Linked DNA regions of Drosophila melanogaster. The protein of the gene in region 3 interacts with the protein of the main gene of each other region in a pairwise test. Each region holds a gene or a part of one and is shown on either strand. Other genes may lie near its edges. The genes, in order: CG17362, CG14110, CG4617 and CG3610.

What was found.
Region 1: the proteins of CG4617 (region 3) and CG17362 interact in a two-hybrid assay, tested with the Drosophila melanogaster proteins (one large-scale study listed by BioGRID).
Region 2: the proteins of CG4617 (region 3) and CG14110 interact in a two-hybrid assay, tested with the Drosophila melanogaster proteins (one large-scale study listed by BioGRID).
Region 4: the proteins of CG4617 (region 3) and CG3610 interact in a two-hybrid assay, tested with the Drosophila melanogaster proteins (one large-scale study listed by BioGRID).

The regions. Positions count from the first base shown.
Region 1 is NT_037436.4:13,984,111-13,988,385, reverse strand, and holds CG17362 (uncharacterized protein), read right to left. Parts: upstream 1,767-4,275; 5' UTR 1,732-1,766; coding exon 1,270-1,731; 3' UTR 1,202-1,269; downstream 1-1,201. Other genes in the region: CG9040 (uncharacterized protein), read right to left, coding at 1-444; CG17364 (uncharacterized protein), read left to right, coding at 2,878-3,265.
Region 2 is NT_037436.4:13,382,435-13,387,251, reverse strand, and holds CG14110 (uncharacterized protein), read right to left. Parts: upstream 2,464-4,817; 5' UTR 2,442-2,463; coding exon 2,378-2,441; intron 2,326-2,377; coding exon 1,343-2,325; 3' UTR 1,327-1,342; downstream 1-1,326. Other genes in the region: CG10171 (uncharacterized protein), read left to right, coding at 1-537; ImpL1 (Ecdysone-inducible gene L1), read right to left, coding at 3,347-4,447.
Region 3 is NC_004354.4:7,101,315-7,107,084, reverse strand, and holds CG4617 (uncharacterized protein), read left to right. Parts: upstream 1-2,593; 5' UTR 2,594-2,690; coding exon 2,691-2,724; intron 2,725-2,780; coding exon 2,781-3,293; intron 3,294-3,355; coding exon 3,356-4,065; 3' UTR 4,066-4,250; exon of another isoform or gene 4,251-4,375; 3' UTR 4,376-4,530; downstream 4,531-5,770. Other genes in the region: CG8300 (uncharacterized protein), read right to left, coding at 971-1,291, 1,693-1,929.
Region 4 is NT_033777.3:14,842,866-14,848,271, forward strand, and holds CG3610 (uncharacterized protein), read left to right. Parts: upstream 1-2,177; 5' UTR 2,178-2,341; coding exon 2,342-3,808; 3' UTR 3,809-3,872; downstream 3,873-5,406.

The DNA.
Region 1 (4,275 bases), on a different chromosome or scaffold from region 3:
CTTCTTGGCTGCCACAGGTGTCTTCTTCTTTTGGGCAACAGGTGTTTGCTTCTTGGCAGACGCGGCTGCCGCTACTTTGCGTTTGGGAGCAGCGGTGGTGGTGCGCCTGCGCCGTCTAGCTCTGCGTGCAGCAGTTTTCTTGGCTTTTTCTGCCTTGGTTGGAGTTGAACTGGAGGTCGTTTCGGCGGAGGAACCATCTCCAGAAGTTTCTGAAGAACTACCTGTATCGGAAGCTTCGCCGGAGGAACTGTCCTCGGAGGTACTAGCATCATCTTCTGAGCTACTGGATGCACCAACACCACTTTCCGAACTGGACTCTACATCAGAGTCGTCATAGTAGTCATCACCATAGTCGTAATAATCGTAATAGTCATCGTCAGTGTCATCAGCACCCGTTACGAAGGCAACCAATATGGCCAGGCTTAAAACCAACAGCAGCCTCATCTTTTTTTTTTTGTATCTATAGAGTCAACGAACAGATAGGTAACCTTAGGTATAAACGTCTGAGTTTAAAAGTCTTCAACACTGGGTATTTATAGTTTTTTCTCCTCTGAAGAAATTTATAAATATATAAAGCTTTTTTACATTATTTTTCTATGTACATCTGTAGAATGCAAATATTGGTTTTTTAATTCATCGTCTTAATTTTCGGTGGCTTAGAGCACCTGTGTGTGCTGCTTGTATTTGTTTAACATTTTTCGATTGCTATATGTTGAAATTATGAAATTATATTTTGTGTTAGAGCACGAAAAAGTAATATAAACTCTTTTATATTAAAAGAGCCAAGGTCACAAATGTCTTATCTGGATTTTTGAACAATTTGTCTATGGTTTACGCGTTAGGCGACCTGCTAGTAGTTTTATAGAAAAAATAGATATGACATTAAACGTCTTTAAAATTATATAATTTTTCAAGTATATGCGGTGTATGTTTTTGTTTATCAAAAATATATTTATTTACAAATGAGGGAAAAAACACGTGCCGATAAAAACTTATGTAGAATGTTTTCTTGTCTTTTGAACATTGGGTGAAATAGTTAAATATATTTCAAAATTTCTGTGATATTCAAGTTTTGTACAAAATTCATAATAATAAACACCCATACCCAACAACCACATTCTTGGTAAATATCATTATCATTATTATATATTAATTCAAAACCTAACTTATAAACGTCATAGAAAAAAATCTTGGTAATTTTGGGAACAAATTTTTTTGGTATAATTTTTTATTTTTATAATTTGTAGCTACGAATATAATAAACTGGATTTATCCAGAGCGCCTACGTTTGTTGGGTCCAGCATTTGCCCGCTTCTTGGCGGCAACAGGTGTTCGCTTCTTAGCCGCCTTCTTGTTATTACTTTTCTTGGCAGCGGCGGCATTGCGACGTTTAGCTGCTGCCTTATTCTTGTTGTTCCTGTTGTTTTTCCTGGCACCAGCTCTTTTGTTCTTTTTGACAACTGGAGCAGCAGTTGGTGCTTCCGTAACATCGCTAGAGCCCTCGTAGTCGTCATAGGAATCGACGTCCCCAGAGTCGTTTCCACTGTCGACGTCAGTGGAGCTATCACTAGTGTCTCCAGAATCAGCAGTGTTGTCTTCGGAGCTACCGGCAGTATCGTTGTCATCAGCGTAATCGTAAGAGTAATCTCCATCGTCAGACGAATCAGTTGTCTGGGCCACAGCCACGTGGGCTACGAAGACTGCCAATGCCAGAACCAGAAGAAGTTTCATTTTCGTTTTGGGGAGATTTTGTGATCTAAACGAAGAAAGCTCAATCCTCTGGTTTATATACCAACATATCAGTCGAATCTCGTTTTTCATGAATCAAAAGTAAATATGATTAAACAAACACACATTCGTTTACTTTGGGCCAGCTGTGTAGATGTTTTTTTGATTATCAATTTGTTTTAGAAATTTTAGATAATAATATTAGCCCCTGGTGGTTACCTGTAAATACTTTTATAAATCAAGTAGATATATAACGTTTTATGTTGTGGAATAAAATAATATATTGTTTGTCGTCTACAATATAAAACGAACGTTTATAGATCCACTTTATCTACACGCAGTTAAAATTGCGTTCACTTTCAGAAAACGTTTTCAAACGCGTAATCTACGTGATTATTTAATGTGATGGCACGCACTACTCATATTATTTATGGTTATTTTAGTGAAAGCACAAATTTATATGTTTGACCTTTTTCCGTGCAATTTCAGCTCGGGATAACGAGCCGCGGCAGACCGAAAGAGGACCAACCCAGATTCGCAAAGTTCGTGCCATAAATCTGCAGTTTGCATGGAATTAATACCCGACTAGAAGGCGGCGGCAGACGTGCAGCGGTGCTGCACATGCAACACACATTAGTGGGTCACTCGAAGATGATGACGCTGCTGACCGCAACGGCAACGGTAGAAGTAAAACCAACAAAAACAAGCGCCACTCGAGCCGATTTGTGGCAGCGGGGGCAAATTATATAAAATTATCATGCAGGGCAGGCAGCTAGCTAGTTGGCCACTTGACAACGGCAGGCGGGACAAGGCTAAACATCATCATCAGGAGCAGCAGCAGCAGCAGCAGCAGAAGCACCACTACCATCACCACCAGCACCAAAAGCAACAACAGCGGCCGGCGACGTATACGTAATGTGCAGCATGACGTATACGTAATGTGCACCGGGGTTTGGCCAATTTGTCCAAAGCGAGCTATAAACCACTGAGGCAGCGGAAACGCAAACCAAAAACCGAAACTCGAGCTGCAAACTATAACATAAACTGAAACTGCTAACGACGCAAACGGAAACTTCTTGGCCAAATGGCGAAAGTTCGCAAACAATTGCGAATGTGTTGAGAAGCGGCTGGCGGTGCGAAAATGACAAAATGGCGAAGTTAACGTTGCCTTGTCTACTGCGGCGACTGCAGCTGATGGCGCAACAACATCAAAAACAGCAGCAGCTGCATCCACACGGCTGCCACTTGATGGCCATGCAACTGGGCCAGGCCGTGCTCCTCTACGGTTGCCTTCTCCTGCTCCACGCCTCCGTGTCCGCCTCTGTCCTGGCCACGTCCTCCGACTCGGCCGCCATTCCGATCCTGCTGAACATCTCCAGCACGATGGATCTGGATGGCGTACCGCAGCAGCAACAGCATGAGCATACCGAGAAACGCACGCGGAAGCGTGATGCCGCCAATGTGCCTGATGATGACGACTATGGCAGTTATCCGGACGACGTCGACGAATTGGAGGCCTTGCTTAATAATAAGTCAGGTGGGTTCGGGTTCAAAAATCACTACATTTTATTTTAAAATCTATTTTAAAGCTATTGATAAATATGTTTAAAGAAATCCCAAATTCTATAACTATAAAATAACTTGCATGTATTTTCGTTGTACATATAATTCCAATTCTGCAGCTTTTATTTTTGTTTAAATGTATATACACACCAGTTACTTAATTAAGTCCTTAAATACAAGTACTTGCTGTGAAAACTTATCTGTGCGCCGCTTTGTTTAATCCCATTTCGTAAATGAATATTTGTGGCTGCTGCACTTGCGAACCGAAATAAATGGAATTTTTGTTGATAATGCACTTGGCCGTCGCTGCGTTTCGTTAGTTTGCATTGACCTTTGCTCGGTTCCGGAGTCCCAAGTCCAAAAACCGCCGAGATCATGAGAGCCATAAATTGCACAACATCCAGTCGCCATTCGGGTCCTTTCATGGTTGTTTGTTTAACTTTTATTTTTGGCACATCCTGACCACCTGGCACCGCATCTGCCGCAGCAGCTGCAACTGCATGATTCACGGTCCCATCCATTTTATCTTGGCCATGATGCGGGAATTACCAAATACGAAAACACACGCTGGTAGCCCATTATAAGTTTTTCCAAAAAAAATAGTAGGAAAACAGCATGGATGTGCAAACAGATAGAATTGTGATTTTAATGCAATTGATATTCGGTGTGCAATTAAATATTCAATTTTGATCCAATTTGCATGCCAACGGCAAGCTGATAGTAACATTTCATATATGCATATTTGCACCTAATATGAACATTCAATTTATTTCTGACAAATTTGGTAATTTGCGTTGTTAATGTGCCAGCCTATAATATTTGATTCTAAGAGAATTGCATTTGATATTTGTATGAAGACAATTAAATTTTATGATTTACGGTTGAGTAAACACTCTGAATTCTGATAAACGTACGAAATATTTTACCACATTTGATAATCTGTTAGTAAATTACTCGGCACATTTCTGAAAAAAGTGCATTGTA
Region 2 (4,817 bases), on a different chromosome or scaffold from region 3:
GCGGTGGACTTCGCACGAGAATACCGATCCAGCTGGCTGGGTGTGGCCGTTATGAGTGCGTTTGCCTGTTGCAATGGCGACACCTGGTCCAGTGAACTAGGATCCGTGCTGTCGCAACGCGATCCAGTTTCTATCATCACCTGGCGCAGAGTGCCGCGCGGTACCAATGGTGGGGTTTCGTTGCTCGGCGTCGCGGTGAGTCTGCTCGGCGGTCTGCTCGTCGGCTTTGGCTATTTCGTCACCGTTCGTTACACGGTTGAGGCCAAAATGCTTCTGATTAGCCCACCACAATGGCCAATCATCGCCTTCGGTGGCATCGCTGGACTTTTTGGGTCCCTTTTGGACTCTGTCCTAGGTGGTCTGCTGCAGTTCTCGGGCATCAATGAGGAAGGCAAGATTGTGGATACACCTGGAAAGGGAGTGCGCCACGTAAGCGGACTGCGCATCCTGGACAACCATAGTGTCAACCTGATTTCCAGCATCGTCACCGGCGTCACCATTCCTCTCCTGGCCCAGAGATTCTGGCCCGTGCGCTAATGCTGTTTTGGATTAGGATTAGCTGCATTCAATAGCTAAAAATGTCAAAGGCTGCCTCACAAGATTGAATTCCGTGTTAAACATAAACCCATCCTCATAAAGCCTTTTAGACAGGTATATATGTACAATTGTTAACCATTTATAATTTCATAACGCCGGTGAAATACCCTCCATAGATATATTTTTATGAAGCTTACATATCGCCTAGCGAACTAACCAACCTATGAGACTCGATGAAAACAACGATTGGGCACCGAATAGCCAAGGCAGTTAGATTATATTTACTCTAAGGTAGCTAACCATGTTCCTTTACGGATTATGACGTTGTTGTTACTGTGACTGTTCACCTCCATTTTGTGTATTAACTCTACTAAACACGAACCGTACATGTGGATCTATTGTCATTGTCTCGAAATTCTCGTACGTGACGGAATACATTTTCTGATTTGGTTATGTATATTCTTATGGCGTCATCTCAAGTTGTTTTCAACAATTTGGAGATCAATGATTGGTTCCCGCTGGAATAATTTTAGCAGACCTCGCTCCAAATCGAATGTTTTGCTTATTGCACAAGCAATTGCTGTTGTGGTGATTAAAATATTCATGAAATTTCTATAACACAATTCGAAATTTTTGAATTTGAGGTAATAGAATAGAATTAAGTTCTTCAACTGAGGGTTTTAAAAATATCTTTTGTTCGAAATATAGCTACTACTCATAAAGTCTTCGAATCCATTGTTGTTAGTACATTAAAACATGAATCCAATTGAAAACCCGTGGTTTTGTTTTCGTTAATAATGTATATCTAATATTTTTGCACTTTATTGGCTCTTCTTAGTTTTTGAAGTTCAAAATTTCGAATTAAGTTTTGCGAAAGAGCACGTAAAGCCTCACTGGACGAACTATGTGAACCCGCAGTGCTGGTAGCTCCACCCGGAGTGGTTGGCTTGGCAAATCCGATTGAGAACTTGATCATTAGGTCGCCAATTGGCGAGTTGACGAATTGCGAGCCCGTTGAGATGGTCTTGAAGATGATGCGACGCTTGTGCTGGTAAACCTGCGGGTCACTTGGCAGGCTGTTTCCCGGCTGAGGATTTGCCTTGGGTTTGGTGCTGGAACCAATCTTGGGCCGTGGAGTGCTGGTGGTCACATTTGGTGATTGCTCTGTGGTGCTGGTTTGGTTCAATGGACTTTCCGAGATCCTGGGCTGAGCAGTGGTTCTTGTCCTGGTGGTTCGTGGCTGAAAAGTGGTTGTGCTGCGTCGTCTGTACGGTTTGCGAGTGGTGGTGGTTGGAAGGCTCAACGAAGGTGCCTGGTAGCCTGGGTCCTCATCCTCGGGAGCATCTGACACGGCGTCCGGTTTCTCGGGGTCCGACGGATAACCCTGATCCGTCTGATCCTCCTCGTCCTCGTAGTCATCCTGTAGATCACCATCTCGATCTCCGCCGGAGAAGTACGGTGGCTGGTGTGGTGGTTTCTGATCGCGACGATCCTGCTTCTCGCGGTGCTGCTCGTAGACAGGGTCATTGGGAGCCGATGAGGCCAACACTTGTTCCATCTGCTTTTGAAGGATCTCGTAGAGCGGCGTATTCTGCACATCCTCTAGGACTTCTGCAGGTTCGCTTGGCACAAACTGATTGTTGATATAGGCATTACGTCCATCCAGGTCTTCTTCTAGTTCCAGCTCTTCATCTTTACGGGAACGAGACTCCGTTTGCAGCTTCTCGGCTGGGGGTTGGGTCACTCCTTCGGTTACCTCGACAGGAGCAGCTTGAATGGTGAGAACAACTAGGAGAGGAAAACTAAATACCACAAGCTACAACTTTTAGAATATTCTCACCTGCACTCAGCAGAATCAGTAGCTGAATCTTCCAGACTGGAACTCCGACACTAGTGGCTCCCATTGCAGTTGGTCAACTTCTGTGACAAGTGACACAAATCCCGCTGCTTTTATAGGCAACCCAGCCGCAACCTGTTGCATTGTCCATCCCACGCCCAATTAGTTTTTAGGTTTAGTGCCTGGCAATGGATGATGGCCCTTTCAAGCTTCAGATATCAATCAGTTTATAGAACTTGTTTTGGGGGTCAATGCACTTGATTCAATGCAACTGCATCGCCTTAGAATTCTTCTCAATTTAATTACAAAGAGGTGAATTTGCCTCTAAGAAAGTTTTGAAAATTATCTGATTGAAAGATATATATGTAAAGTTGAAGTTGTTATACCCGTTACTTTAACACACAAAGTTCTTTAGAGGCCATAAAGAATTATCAAGAATGAGTTCGTTAAGAATCATAGGTGTATTCATTCCCATTACAAATTTTGCACACACCTTTCCCCTTGCTACTAAATCTGCTTCGAGTTATACTAGTTTGTCACAGAAATGTTGGATCCCGATTAATGTCTTTCCAAAGATATAGCTATGTAAATGTACAATGCACCTATTTCAGTAATTAAATGCTCAAGGGATCTGAAAAATAGTGTAACTGGTCTGGAGTCATAAGAACTAAGAAGACACTCTTACTGACTTTGGGAAAATAAAAGTGCGTTTCGATCCCATATAAAATATCTACATAAAAGTGCTAAGCAGATCTTATGATTTTTATTTTTATGACAATATAAAAGTCGGGTTACCATTAAAGTTAGCCATAAAAATTGTAGTCCAATACACGTTTAAACTACAAAGCGTGTATTTAAAAAAAACCCATTTTGTTTATCAAATATAGATGATTATCGTTGTTTAGAATTTTATTTGTTGTAATAAATTAAATAAATACTATAATTAGGTGAGATTTGTGTAGCCATTGCTTTCTAAGCTACTTGGTACTTGAGCCTATCAATGTCCTTGCCCTTGGGTTGGGTCTGCTGGTGAAGGGGCGCGATCTCCAGAGGTTTGGGCGTGGGAGTGTCCTTCAGTGGCATAGGCGGCATAGCGATGTCCTCGGTCGTCTTTGCAGGCTCCAAAACTGAAACTGGTTTTGGAACTGCTACTTGAATAGGAACTGGCACTGGCTTCTGGGTGGATTCCACTTTCTTCTGTGGCATTAGGGAAAGGGGATCCTTCTGCTTGTTTTCCTTTTGGTCATCCTTCTCCTCGCTGCTTTCGCTGCTGTCCTTCTCGTTCTTATTTTTCTCAGCCTTCTCCTTCTTCTTTTGCTCCTTCTCCAGCTTGTGTTGTTCCTCCTCCTGCTTACGCTTCTCCTCCTCCAGCTTCAATTGCTCCACGATGGCCGCATCCCGGAAATAAGGCGATGACCGGAACTTCTTGTCGGCATAGGCAGTTTCCTGCGGATATTTCGCCTGGCACTCGGCATAGGCGAAGTCCGTCCAAAGACCGTGGGATCGGCACTTGGCTACACCCAACTTGCACTTGTTGTAGAAAACGGCCACCTCTGAGGTGGTCCTGCCGCAGATGGGCTCGTACAGTTCATCGCAATCATCGTCGCACAGATAGCCCTCGCTCAAGGACTGCGCGGCACTGTTGATAGCCGCGGAATTGGAAGACTGGCAATTCTTCTGGCCCGACTCACAGCTGAACCAGGCGATGGGAATGGCCAAATAGGGGGGACTTAGACGCTTCTGTGCGGCTCCAATCTCACCGGGAGCCGCAAAGGTGCGCTTTACATAGTAGCCGTGCTCTTCGGTGGAAATTGGAGTGTTTCCAGCCAAATCCGTGGAGCTAGACCACTTGGTCTTTGTCTTGGTCTTGTGGGGATCAGACTTTTCATAGTGATGATCGGAGCCCTTGTGCTTGCGCCGCTTTGCATCCGCGGGAATCGCCTCCAAAAGCAGCAGAGCTGCTACTGCTAAAAAGGAAATGGGCGCATACCAGTTAATTATGGGACTTCCAGAACTGGTCAGCTTCGATATGCGAGACTTACCTACGATGCAAACTACTTGGTATGGCCTCATGTTGATCTGGTCAGCTGCTCGACTCCACAACAACTGATCGCATCTTCTGGCGAGCGGTGCTTAAGTACCAGTCTTAGCCACTCGGCGGGGAATTCTTTAGGGGCTTACCGGTTTTCTTCCCACTGCAGCTCTTTCAAAGAGTTCCACATCTTCTCGAGATTTGTTTACACTTCGCGATGTCTCGAGGTCCGAACGAAAGTACGCCAACTTTTTGGTACTCATACTATATTATATTTGGTGAAATTTTATGCAAACTGATGTGGCTGTGGTCGTACCCTTCCCAGCGATAGCCATCTAGAATGTCTCGGATCTGGAACTGGTTGTGTGTGTGTGTGTTTTTTTAACACCTTCGATGCCCTCCATTCGACGC
Region 3 (5,770 bases):
TGCTTTAGTTTGGGCCTTTATCGCGAGGTCATAGGTCATCTACAATGTATTTGTAATTGCCCTAGATGGGCTTCATATCCTATTTTCCTGTGTGTACTTAATGTTGCTCCTAATTAGTTGCCCCTTGCGTTGCCTTTTTACCATTTTGGTGTAACCAAATTCAATAATCGCTCTTGCCTTTTAGACATTAGGACTTAATGTGTGTCGCCTTTGCGTACATAACACATATATACATATATATATTTAGCATTTTTATATAAATTCTTTTTTTTTGAGTTAGAGAGAGAGAGAAACGCGCAGCAACCAAATACTGTGATACGCATGTTCATGTCTTCAAAAACAAAAAAATAAAAATGGGAACCAGAAACTAGGTTTCCAACTTTGCTGTCTTCTCCCGATGCCGAAACAAGTGTACTTAACAATCGAAAAAAAAAAACGCAATTGCAATCGTAGCCGTAATGCCTAATTGTATTCAGTGTGCCATTAGCTTTAGGGACTTAACTGAAACGAGTCAATATCATGAAATTACCTTAAAAGAGTCCTTTTCCAGCAACGAACTTTGGCGGAATTACTGAGGGTTTTCCTTCAACTTCTGCTGATTTTCGCACAGAAAAAGTCCTACTTCTAAATGTCCAACTAACTAGCTAAGAAACTAACTAACCTTTATACAATTGCGGGCTAATACGAATCGTATGGAGCCCGCGACTAACAGTATATGTATTGTATTGTATTGTATTTTATATGTGTATTTTTTTTATTATCATATATGTATATGTATAACTTATTTGCTAGCGAATAAAGTGTCGAAAAGTTAATATCTGTTTTGATTCATTTCGTTTCGCATGGTTTTTACCAAGTAAAAGAGTCTCCAAGTGTCGCCAGTACTCCATGAGCATTTTGTTTCGCCTTCCTGCCAAGAAAATCGCCACCTTGCACAACCCACCTGGCAAGTGGGTGGCCCAGTGGGCGCCTACTGCCGTGTGGGTGGCAAGGTCGCCTCGCTGCGTGTTGGTTCGCATAGGACGATGGTTTCGTTGCGATTGTTGTTGCCGCTGCTGTTGTTGTTGCTGCTACTGGTCGTGGTCGACATGGCCCGCGGGTGCCAATTGTCAAGGTCCTCGTCGCCGTGCTCCTTGGCCCTGTGGTAGTTCTCCAATTCGCTGGCATACTTGCTGCTGGTGATACCAAGCAGGTGGGCCAGCCCACCGCCCACATAGTCGATGCCGGCCAGGAATCGGTTGCCCATCCTGCTGGCCTTGTAACGCAGGCGTGGTCCCAGCGGCATTTCGCTCTAAAAGGTGGCAAAAAAAAAAAAAGCGGGCTAAATGAGTCACGCTAAATGGTCAATGAGGAGGGGGGCGGGGGGTGGCAGCTGCTTATCTTTTTCGTGGCCCTGGGCCCTGTTTGTTTACTTAAACAGCTCAAAACACACATTTTCATTGAAAGATATAAAATTTCTCACATTATTATCATAATTCGCTTCGAACATTAGTCACGTCTCGAGCTCAAAGTGAAAAGTTATTATCTGGATCAGGAGAACTGGGCTAATCTTGAGCAAATTTAACTAACTGTGTTAATCCGGACAATCCCGCTTTAAAAAAGGTAAACAAGCAATGCAGCTACATGACCATGTACTAAATGGATGGCCGGAAGTGCATTACTCCACCCATAATCCTTGCTGAATGTATGTACCTCGTTTAAATGGACGTCGTAGCATTTGTCGCCCATTTCCGCATCCGCCTCGTCCTCGCTGCCCGAGGACAACTCCTCCATGACGCCGTCGCTAAAGTACAGCATGCGCTTGTTGGACTGCAGTTCAAGGGCGCTCACATTGTCCGTCTCGGATGCACTTGCTCCACTCGCAGATGCCAGTTCCAATCCTCCAGCTGCACTGCGTACTTCGCCACTCTTGTTCCTCTCCGCTGACATGGCTATGGATAGCTCTAAACCCGATTAAGTACCGCCTCGATTGATTGACGCTGCGCGAATGTTTTTGCTTGCGCTTGAGCTTCGTTTGAATCGCAGCCGCCGTTTTGGTCATGAAAAAAGCGGACGCGGGTCAACGCCAAATGCGTATACGGCCGGCTGGGGGCCAAAATGTCCTTGGGTTGGGGGCCACCGGCGAAACGACTCACAAACGGCGAGAATCGCGTGCCATGGGGCGCTTGGCGCAGTTAGGTGCAAAGCAAATCGATAAACTAAAAGCCGCTTTCAAACAGCAAAAAAAAAAGTCGAAACAAAACAAAGGTGCGGCAGTGTGACCAGCTGATGGTTTTTGCAAGCTAACTGGATATTAATTTAGATGTATTGTAATAAAAATGAAATTGCAGTCGTATATATCGTAAATGTTTTTGTTTATAAAAATAATTAATAATATAATAAAAAAATTAAGTTGTGCGTGCACATCCTGTGCTTATAATTTAAATAATATAACAATAAAAAATATTATATTATTAAATAATTAAGTTTAATGGTTTCCTACTCTGTACAATTGACTGGTGCAATGGTTATTAACTTAGCAATATATTCAAAAACTAAAATGGTTATCTAGTGTTCCATATTTAACCATCGCTTGCAATGCATCGCGTTTTAAAGCTCTGGTCACACCAAACAGCTGTTTTGTTTGCTTCGTTTAATTCGTTCTTTTTGCAACAAATTGCATCCCAATCTTCCAAAGCAGGTATCCAAACATGGAGTCCCCAACCTCGCACCTGGTGGCCAAGGGTGAGTGGAAAAAGCGGCAGCCGTCAATGGAATCGGGGTCATAAATTCCCAATTAGATTTCCAGGTGACGGGTGTTTCGCGCAGCGGACGCGTACGCAAAAAATCGTCGAAATTGTTGGATTTTGAATCTCCGGATGAGATCGAGAAGCGCACAAGGCGTCACAGTGGCGCCAGACAGCCAGCCAGATATTCGGGCCGCGGCAGGCCATCGAATGCGCTGCGTGATCTGGATCTTGACCAGGAGATGCTCGTGGATGATGGCATTATCTCGGATAGCGAGGAATTCCATCCGGATACAACGGCAACGGTCGTGGCCATTCTGAATTCCGACGATGAACTGGACAATCTGGTGCAGGATATCGTCGATGGTGTCCAGGCGGAGGCCACCAGCCAAGAGTCATCCGTCCGTCAGAGTCTTTACATGCGCGAGAAGTCCAACAAGCGGCAGGTGCTCAAGGACGGCAAGGTGGTGAGTGCCAAGGTGCAGCGCAAGGACAAGGGCAAGCAGCGCTACACCGCCTACAGTCTGTGGGCCAAGGAGGCGCGACAGAAGGATCTCCAGGATCTAGGTAGGTTGCTACACATCTGTGCGCTCTCTATCGCTTATTGACCATTCCCCGCACGCTTGCAGACTTCACCAGCGCGACCAGACGCCTCAGCGAGCTGTGGGCGAACGTTTCCAATCGGGACAAGAACACCTGGCGGCGCAAGGCCAAAATCGAGGCGTCCAGGGCCAAAACTCGCGACAAAACCGCTGCAAACGGTGCAACCCAGCCGGCGAGCAACGGCAGCACGGCTCTGGCAGATGCCACGCAGCACGAGACGATCTTTCAGAACCGTGCGACAACAAGTCGCACTCGAAAACTGGCCGCCGATCGGCAGCAATCCTCAATAGAAGCGGCTGCCGCAGCGGCGGCAGCAGCAGCGACTGGCACCAACACACAGCGGCGCAGCATCAGCACACGAAGTGCCAGGTCGCAGGTCTCGAAGAGCGCGACGAAACAAGCGCAAGTGCACACGGATGCGGACGTCAGCGGCCGGACTGGGGGTCAGCTGAAGCAGGAGGAGGTGCAAAAGACCAGCATCGAAGTGATCGATGCGGCCGCACATCTGAAGCTGCTCGGCGAGAGCCTGACTGTGATTGGCGAGCGACTGAAGAAGCACAATGGATACGTGGCGCTATCGGGCAGCTTGTCCGTGCTCCTCGACAGCCTGCTCTGCGCCATGGGACCGCTGCTCTGCATGACCACGCAAATACCCGGCATGGAGAACAATGTGCAGTTGAGCAAAAATCTGGCCGACACGCTCGACAACATCGCCTACGTAATGCCCGGACTATGAAGTAAATTCCGGATTGCAACTGCAAATGCATACATATATATATATATATAATCATACCAGGCCGCTGCGCTTCCAGCGGCGACTAGAGTCGCCATCGGGATCTGTATGTTTGTAAGGAGTTGGCCAACCTGGAAATAGTTAATCGCATTAGATATGCCTAGTTGATAAACTGAAGCATCTAGATCGTAAGTAAAAGGTCTCCCTCTAATTGAGTTTTTTTTTTATTTGCTTCTTGAATTGAAATTCGTACGCTAAAAAGTTTAGTAGTTCACTTATTTATTTCCACTTTTTGTTTTTTGCAACATTTAAGCACAAATCATCGAAACATTGGTAGAATTAGGCAACATTAAATATCCTATAATCCTTAAGTGAAATAAATGTGAATCACAAGATTCTTATTTCAGCTTCAAATTAAGCAGGCACTTTTTATAATAAACGTAATAAATAAAGATAAATATAAAAGCTAAAAATATGAGATGATTTCTTCCTCTGCCCAAAAATCTTTATAAAAGTGAAATATTTTTAAAAATGATCTCAAATAAGCCATAATTGAAGGTTCGAATAGTGGAACTATAAGCTAGATATAAACTTTAAATATTTATAAATACGTTAATTATTTGCTTACTTTCTAGAGATGGCACTTCGCTGGTGCGCCATCGATGACTTGGCTTGCCGTTACAACGGCGAGCTATCGATGTTACATCGCCGCCCTGCCCACCACTAGCCAGTCCGCGGAAAGTAAATAAGAAGACGGACGCCAAATCGAATCTTCCCACATCCCCGGATGCAGTGCAGCAAGCTCTGGGTCCCTGAGAATCCTGCGTGGGCCTGGGATTCCGAATCCTCTTCCGCCCCGGATCCGCACGTCAGCGCGGCATCCGCATCCGCCACCGCTTCCGCCCACGCACAGCATCCGCAGCCACATCCGCGGCAGCAAAAAAACGGTGAGTTTTCCACCTGCATTTTTTTTTGGATTTTCCGGGGGGGGGGGGGGCAGCAGCTGTGATTGGGATGGAAAATACTTGTGTAGGTGGACGGTCAGGTTGTAGGGGCGAATTGCGTGACGGCAGCGCTACAAATTGGATTAGTGCGGCGATTGATTCTGAATGGGAGATGTAAACAATCTTCCTGTGCACTGAGAAAAATAACATGGTAAAGCAAGGCACAAAAAAAGATGGAAAGATTGGTTGAATAAGATAAAATAGGTTTAAGACTAAGCTGAAATATCATTAGCCAAAAAACATGAATGTGAAATGAATTACTTTAAAGGATTCTTAAGCACAATTTGTTTAGAAAATAAATTCGATTCAGTAACTGTTAAATTCAAAGCTTAAAAAGAAATGGAATACCTTGCGATTTGCAGTCCAGACATTTTCTCGCAGTGCACTAGCTCCCCGCCCGCTGTTTTGTAATTGGCAATATAAGGAATGCCCGAGGTATCTATTTTTATACCGCTTAGCATAGTCGTTATGGTGATAAATTCCGAAGGGGGGGTGGGGGGTTTGTTCGTTATGCTTTTCAACCCCGTGACCTCCCACCGCGCCCAATGGGGCATACTTTTGGGGGCGCCGGGAACTGGGAGGTGTTTTAATTCCACCATCGTTGGTTTATTGAAAAGTTGTCATAACTCAGAACAGACAAGCCAGCAAAGTTTCGAGTCCTCTCAATTGCGGGCAAATACAGGCAGATCTTAAAACTATAATGT
Region 4 (5,406 bases), on a different chromosome or scaffold from region 3:
GGGGATAAAGTTTCGTTCATGTGGTTGCCCAGTGGAATACAAGAAACCCTATATGACCACTATATATGCACGGTACATGGCGATTCAAGCACTTTGCCATTGTGTACATTCCTCACTTGTCCGACATTCCAGGTCAACAAATAGCGAAAGGCTTGCCTTCGCTTGAAAAGGGTTCCCTAAATCAGTAGATATCAAAGGATGTTACAGGTGAAATAATATCTCGACACTACTTCTAACCTAACGTAGGTAGTATGTAGCTTGATTTAAAATCTAAATAAAACCCTACCCTCTCCTTTTTTTTAAGCATTTACATTCGAGACACATAAATGTTAAATACCAATGAAAAGCCCCGCGAAAAGTTCGTTGAACCAGACATGGCAAGTTTCTCTCCGAAGATGGTTTGATTAATTGACGATGACCTGGCTAAAGACTTAATGCCGAACTTCCGTGCGAGTGGCAGATATACTTATTATATCAATTAAGGTAAGCAACAATGCTTTCTATTGTCCCCCCCAGTCCAGCGATTCTGCTGTCTCATAGGGTCGGACCGCCACTTTCCATCATCCATCCAACTTAATGTGCAATAATGAGTGTCATGTAATGCCAGACGCGTTCGATTCGAATTGCCAACCAACCAACAAACAAACAAAACTGAACTCAACTCAAACAGCAGCTGCATTGGCGGCTAAAGGAAAATAAAAGAGAAAAACCCAATGCAGCATTAGCAACGACAACAAATTAACATTTTTCAAAACTTTAAAGCCCCGACATGCGTTGACACTTTCGGGGAAAATTGCGTACAATTTCAAATGCAGGCACAAAACTTTACGCGTAATTACGACACTGGGGAAAACAGGAGGAAAATATAAATGGCAATAAGGGGGGGGGGGGGGGCACAAAAAAAAAACAAATAAATAAAACAAACCGCTGGCAAATCGCGTTCGCTGCGCCGTTGACAGTTGTAAAATGGAAAGGTTATCCGGACCCTGGTCGGCAAAAACCATGGACAGCCAACAAATGCGTCGAGGAAAGTGCCTTCGGAAGCTGCAGCTGCTACTGGAGCTACTCATGTCCCATTCCCCATGCCCCCCCGCCACGAACTCAATCCCCTCCTGCCACAGAGACTCCGCCAATGAGCTTCTGTCGTGGACAGTGACTGATGGTCTGGGAGAGCTCCGCTCTTTTCTGCCTCCAATGATTACGATGATGATGAAGACGGCGATGACAGGGCAGCATTTAACCAGCGCTCAGCAGTTAGATAACTATATATAAATTATGGAAGCCAGACGATAAAAATCCTCGACAGATCGCTCTAGAACGTCTACCATAGTTTATAATTCTAAATATACGTATGTTGAAAATGTTTGATTGCAATTGTGAACAAATTATAATTGGTTTTATCTTATTTTCCAATATACTCAGTATTCTGTAAATAATTGACTTTTATTTAAATACCTTTTTAGCTCAATAGCTGTTTTAAATTCAGGAGAAATATTATTTCTATTGAGTGCAATGCATTCGAGCTCAGAAACTCAATCGTTTAGCTCGGTTGTGATTTTCCATACAAATTCGTATGCAAATTCAAAGGTATATATAGCCAATAGTCGGGGCAACAACGCGCTCGCAAGGGAAGCACTTGAGCCTTACTTTGATGCACATATCCCCATTAAGTTGGCCCCCGTCGAGCTTGTGGCTCCCAATGCGGCCATGCAGTAGGTGAGAGAGAGAGAGAGATCTCTTGGCCTCTTGGCCCAGAACCCACTCAAATATGCTAATCCACTGGAAGTCCACACAGACCTCCACAGACAGCCCACAGTAGAGTGCATGTTTCTGAGCTTCAGGAAAAGTAGTTGCATAAAGCTACAATGCCTTTCCAGAATCTCACAGAGGAAGTAATTTGAAATTACGGAAGGACAGGCTTTCAATTACGGTAAGCTAACTTACCGATATAAAGGGAACATTCTGTAATCGTGGGCAATTGACAGATTCTGTCAATGACAGAAAATCAAGAAAAGTGGCTTTATATTCGCAGCTTAAAAATATTAGCCAGCTCTTATCTGTTTCACTTAATTCTTCATAACATACTTGTAATTTGAATTAACCTGAATATTATTTTCTAAACTTATTTATCCAGCTGAAAACTGTCGTTTTTTAATATCTGAAAATTTTCTAGCAGTCTTCAGTTAGTCAGTAGATTTCGTTAGGTTACTAGCACAAAAAAAAAACATTTTGAGTGAACTAATACCACTCAAAACGCCTTGACATATCACATATTTCATTCCCAGTTAAATTTTCCTAAGTAATTTCTTTAAAAGGAAGTGGTTTGTTTTCTTGAACCACGATGGAAAATCTCCAACCGGAGTCGGATCGCGTTGGCCATATTGTCTGGGATGAACCGGGAGCCTCGATTTTTGCCACCGCCTCCCAGGAGCCCGTACCGAATCTTCTGACCGAGTTCAAACCAATGCCGAAGGGCGAGGACGACTGTGTTTCTGATAAGGATGTGTGCCGCATTCTTACACAGTCGTCTGTCGCGGAGAGCTCATTGTTCCGAATGGTCAAACACCAGGTGGACGAAGTGGCCGCCATGCTCAACAGTCACCTGCATCCGCGCCAACGGAAGGAGCAAACCGATGTGGATGTCACCCTCGGTGTAGCAAGGGAACTGGCTCGCCAGCAGGTGGAGGCCAGTAGATGCCTTCAACTTCATCGCAATGTGGAAAATTTGAGGGATCTCGAGATGGAAGTGGCCCGTGCCCACACAGCGTTGGCTGTCAAGAACAAGATCACCAACAATATCAAACAAACGGTGGAAGATAAGCAGCGGGAGCGGGCCGAAGCTTTGGCGGAACAGCGAGCCGTGGAAAAGGAGCTGAAGGAGGAGAAGCAAAGAAGGGCTCAGAAGGCAGCCGTGTTTCGTAGAGATCTAATGGCCCAGATTACCGAGGGGCGTACCAAGCGGATACAAGATCATCGAATAGCTGTGGCCGAGGGTCGTCAAGAGCTAAAGGAATGCAAGGAGATAGTGGAGCAGGGAATCCTAAAGGATGCAGTTACAAAGGCGCAGCAGCGCAAGGTGCTCCTCGAATCCCTAGACCAATCGGCAGCCATGTTGAAGCAAACCCGCGAGGCCTACGCTCTGGCCCAAAAGAATAAGCCCGAGAGAGGACTCCTTGATGCCCTGGGACCCGTTACGGCGGCCTATGTGTCAAAGGCACGGAAACGACGCCTTGATGAGATCGAGGCCAGGGACATTAATGCCGCTCGGCTGGGCTTCCAGCTCAGCCAGATCAAGCACGATCTGGAGTCCCGAGATCAAGTCATCACCAGTCTGCTAATCCGCGAGCACAAGGCCAAGGAGAACGCGAAGGCCTTGGAACAGGCTAGAACCAAAATGGCCAAGAAGCAGGAGATTCGCGAACAGCTCCTCAGCCAGCGGGAAGAGCAGAAGTTCTTCCGAGATAAGGGTGTGCAGGATGCCCTGGTCATGCCCAAGGATCCCATGTGCTTCGGCGAACGACAGTATCGAATGCAAGTGGCCCAGCGGGAGAACACCCGGCGCTTGGATGTCCAATGCTACCAGGACATGGCCCACATGGTCGTGGAGGCCAAGAATAACAGGAAAGCCGCTGCCCAGGAGGTGGTTGACATTGTACAGGAGGTCTACAACCAACAGAATCGCCAGGATGAGCTTGTGGCTATTGAGCGGATGAAGCTGCTCTCCAAGCAGCCACCTGAAGTTCTTTCAGCGCTCAAGAAATCCATTCTCACCGAAGAGGAGATCAAGTCTTTAAACCTTAAGAAGTAGTTAATGAGTTTTCATTTAATACGCGCTAGATGCCCGTATTAAGGCTTGTAGAAACAAAAAATACAAAAAAGTACTTTTTGTTTTTTTCTTCGGGTTATTATTAAACCTACGCCCCCCTGGATGTTGGCTATTATTTATCAAGTATACTACCTCATGTGAAGCAGCCCACTGGCACAGGATGTGCTTAATTTTCCATTTTGCTGCTCTGCACTTTTAAATAGACTTTGCTGGCGCTGCCGGGATGGCAAATGAAATTCACTTTCTTATCCATTCTTTGGCCAAGCTTTTGCAGCAGGTCAGGTTTCCAGGTTTCGTACTCGAGCAACCGGTTTACCGACATTGCAGCTGGAAATTTGTTTACAATAATACGGTTCGAACGCACGCAGATGGGAGCGTAAGTGCACTTTGAAACCGGGCTTACATACATTTCCTTTACTTTCCATTTCTGGACTCATTAGCCGGCTGCCGGAGGAGACAGGTTTATATTTCATAACTGGCTGGCGAAGAAGGCTCAAGAATGTTGGCAAAGTCAGTTTTTTGGCAACCATTTTGGAGCACTCTCTTGACGACCTGCGGAAACTTTCCCTGGCAATAACTTTGGCTCCAAGTTTCAGCTTCAATGTGCAGAAAAAAAGATATATTTATGCTTTCAGTACACTGTAAACTATCGAAAGAAACTCTTTTTGGGTGCTGCGAGCTCAACTAGTTCTATAAACTGTAGTCATACTATTAAAATGAAACATGCTAGTTGTACTAACCAGGAAATTAGGGAAATTCTTGTTAGATCAATGCTTGGTTTCTTTCAGTGCAGACTTATAGAAGCGACCAGCACAATCACAACCCAGTTTCTGTTTCAACTTAAGTCTGCTGAATGGTGTGAGGTTGTTTTGTCTTTTCGACTCTGGTCTGGTCATAGAGGAGCAGCTTGGTTGGCAAACTTTTTATGCCGAAACTTTTTTTTTGGGCCAGATCTTCAAGTTGGCCAAAAAGATGTGAAGTTGTGTGCACAGGCGTGTCTGCAGCTCTTCCACCTGGAAGAGCGTTACTGGCTCTAATAGGAGTTGAGTCGTCGTGTGGCTGCAAATGTGTTTGCATTGCTATGAAATTGGAAACGAGATCTGCAAAAGTTGAGTAATTGAGCTGATTCTGCTTCGTTGGTCACTCGAATCGAAGAACCTTTCCTCCAACGTATTCATGCCACAACAATCATCTGGGGGCCCCATTTTCAAGCCAACCCAGAAAGGGGGAACATTGAGAGAAAATGGGTTGGTAAATAAAGCCTAGGCCAATAAACATTTTATACATTAAATTAAATTATTAATTTTAAGCTACACCTCATCATTCTGGGTTATCCTAATATGCTGCCTTGACATGAGAGTTGCACTGATCTTCCCTTAATTATTGTGACTAAAATTGTAATATAGAATATGCATTTATTTATTATTTATGACTTTTTCCTCTCTGCAGAGGCAGACCAAAAAAGGGAACAATGAAAGACAGGCTCTGAGACATTGAATGCGAGTCGGAGAACAAAGCAATAAAAGGCCCGAGAAGTGGGTTGTTGTTAGCTGTTTGCTTGCCATGCTGGGAATGGAAAA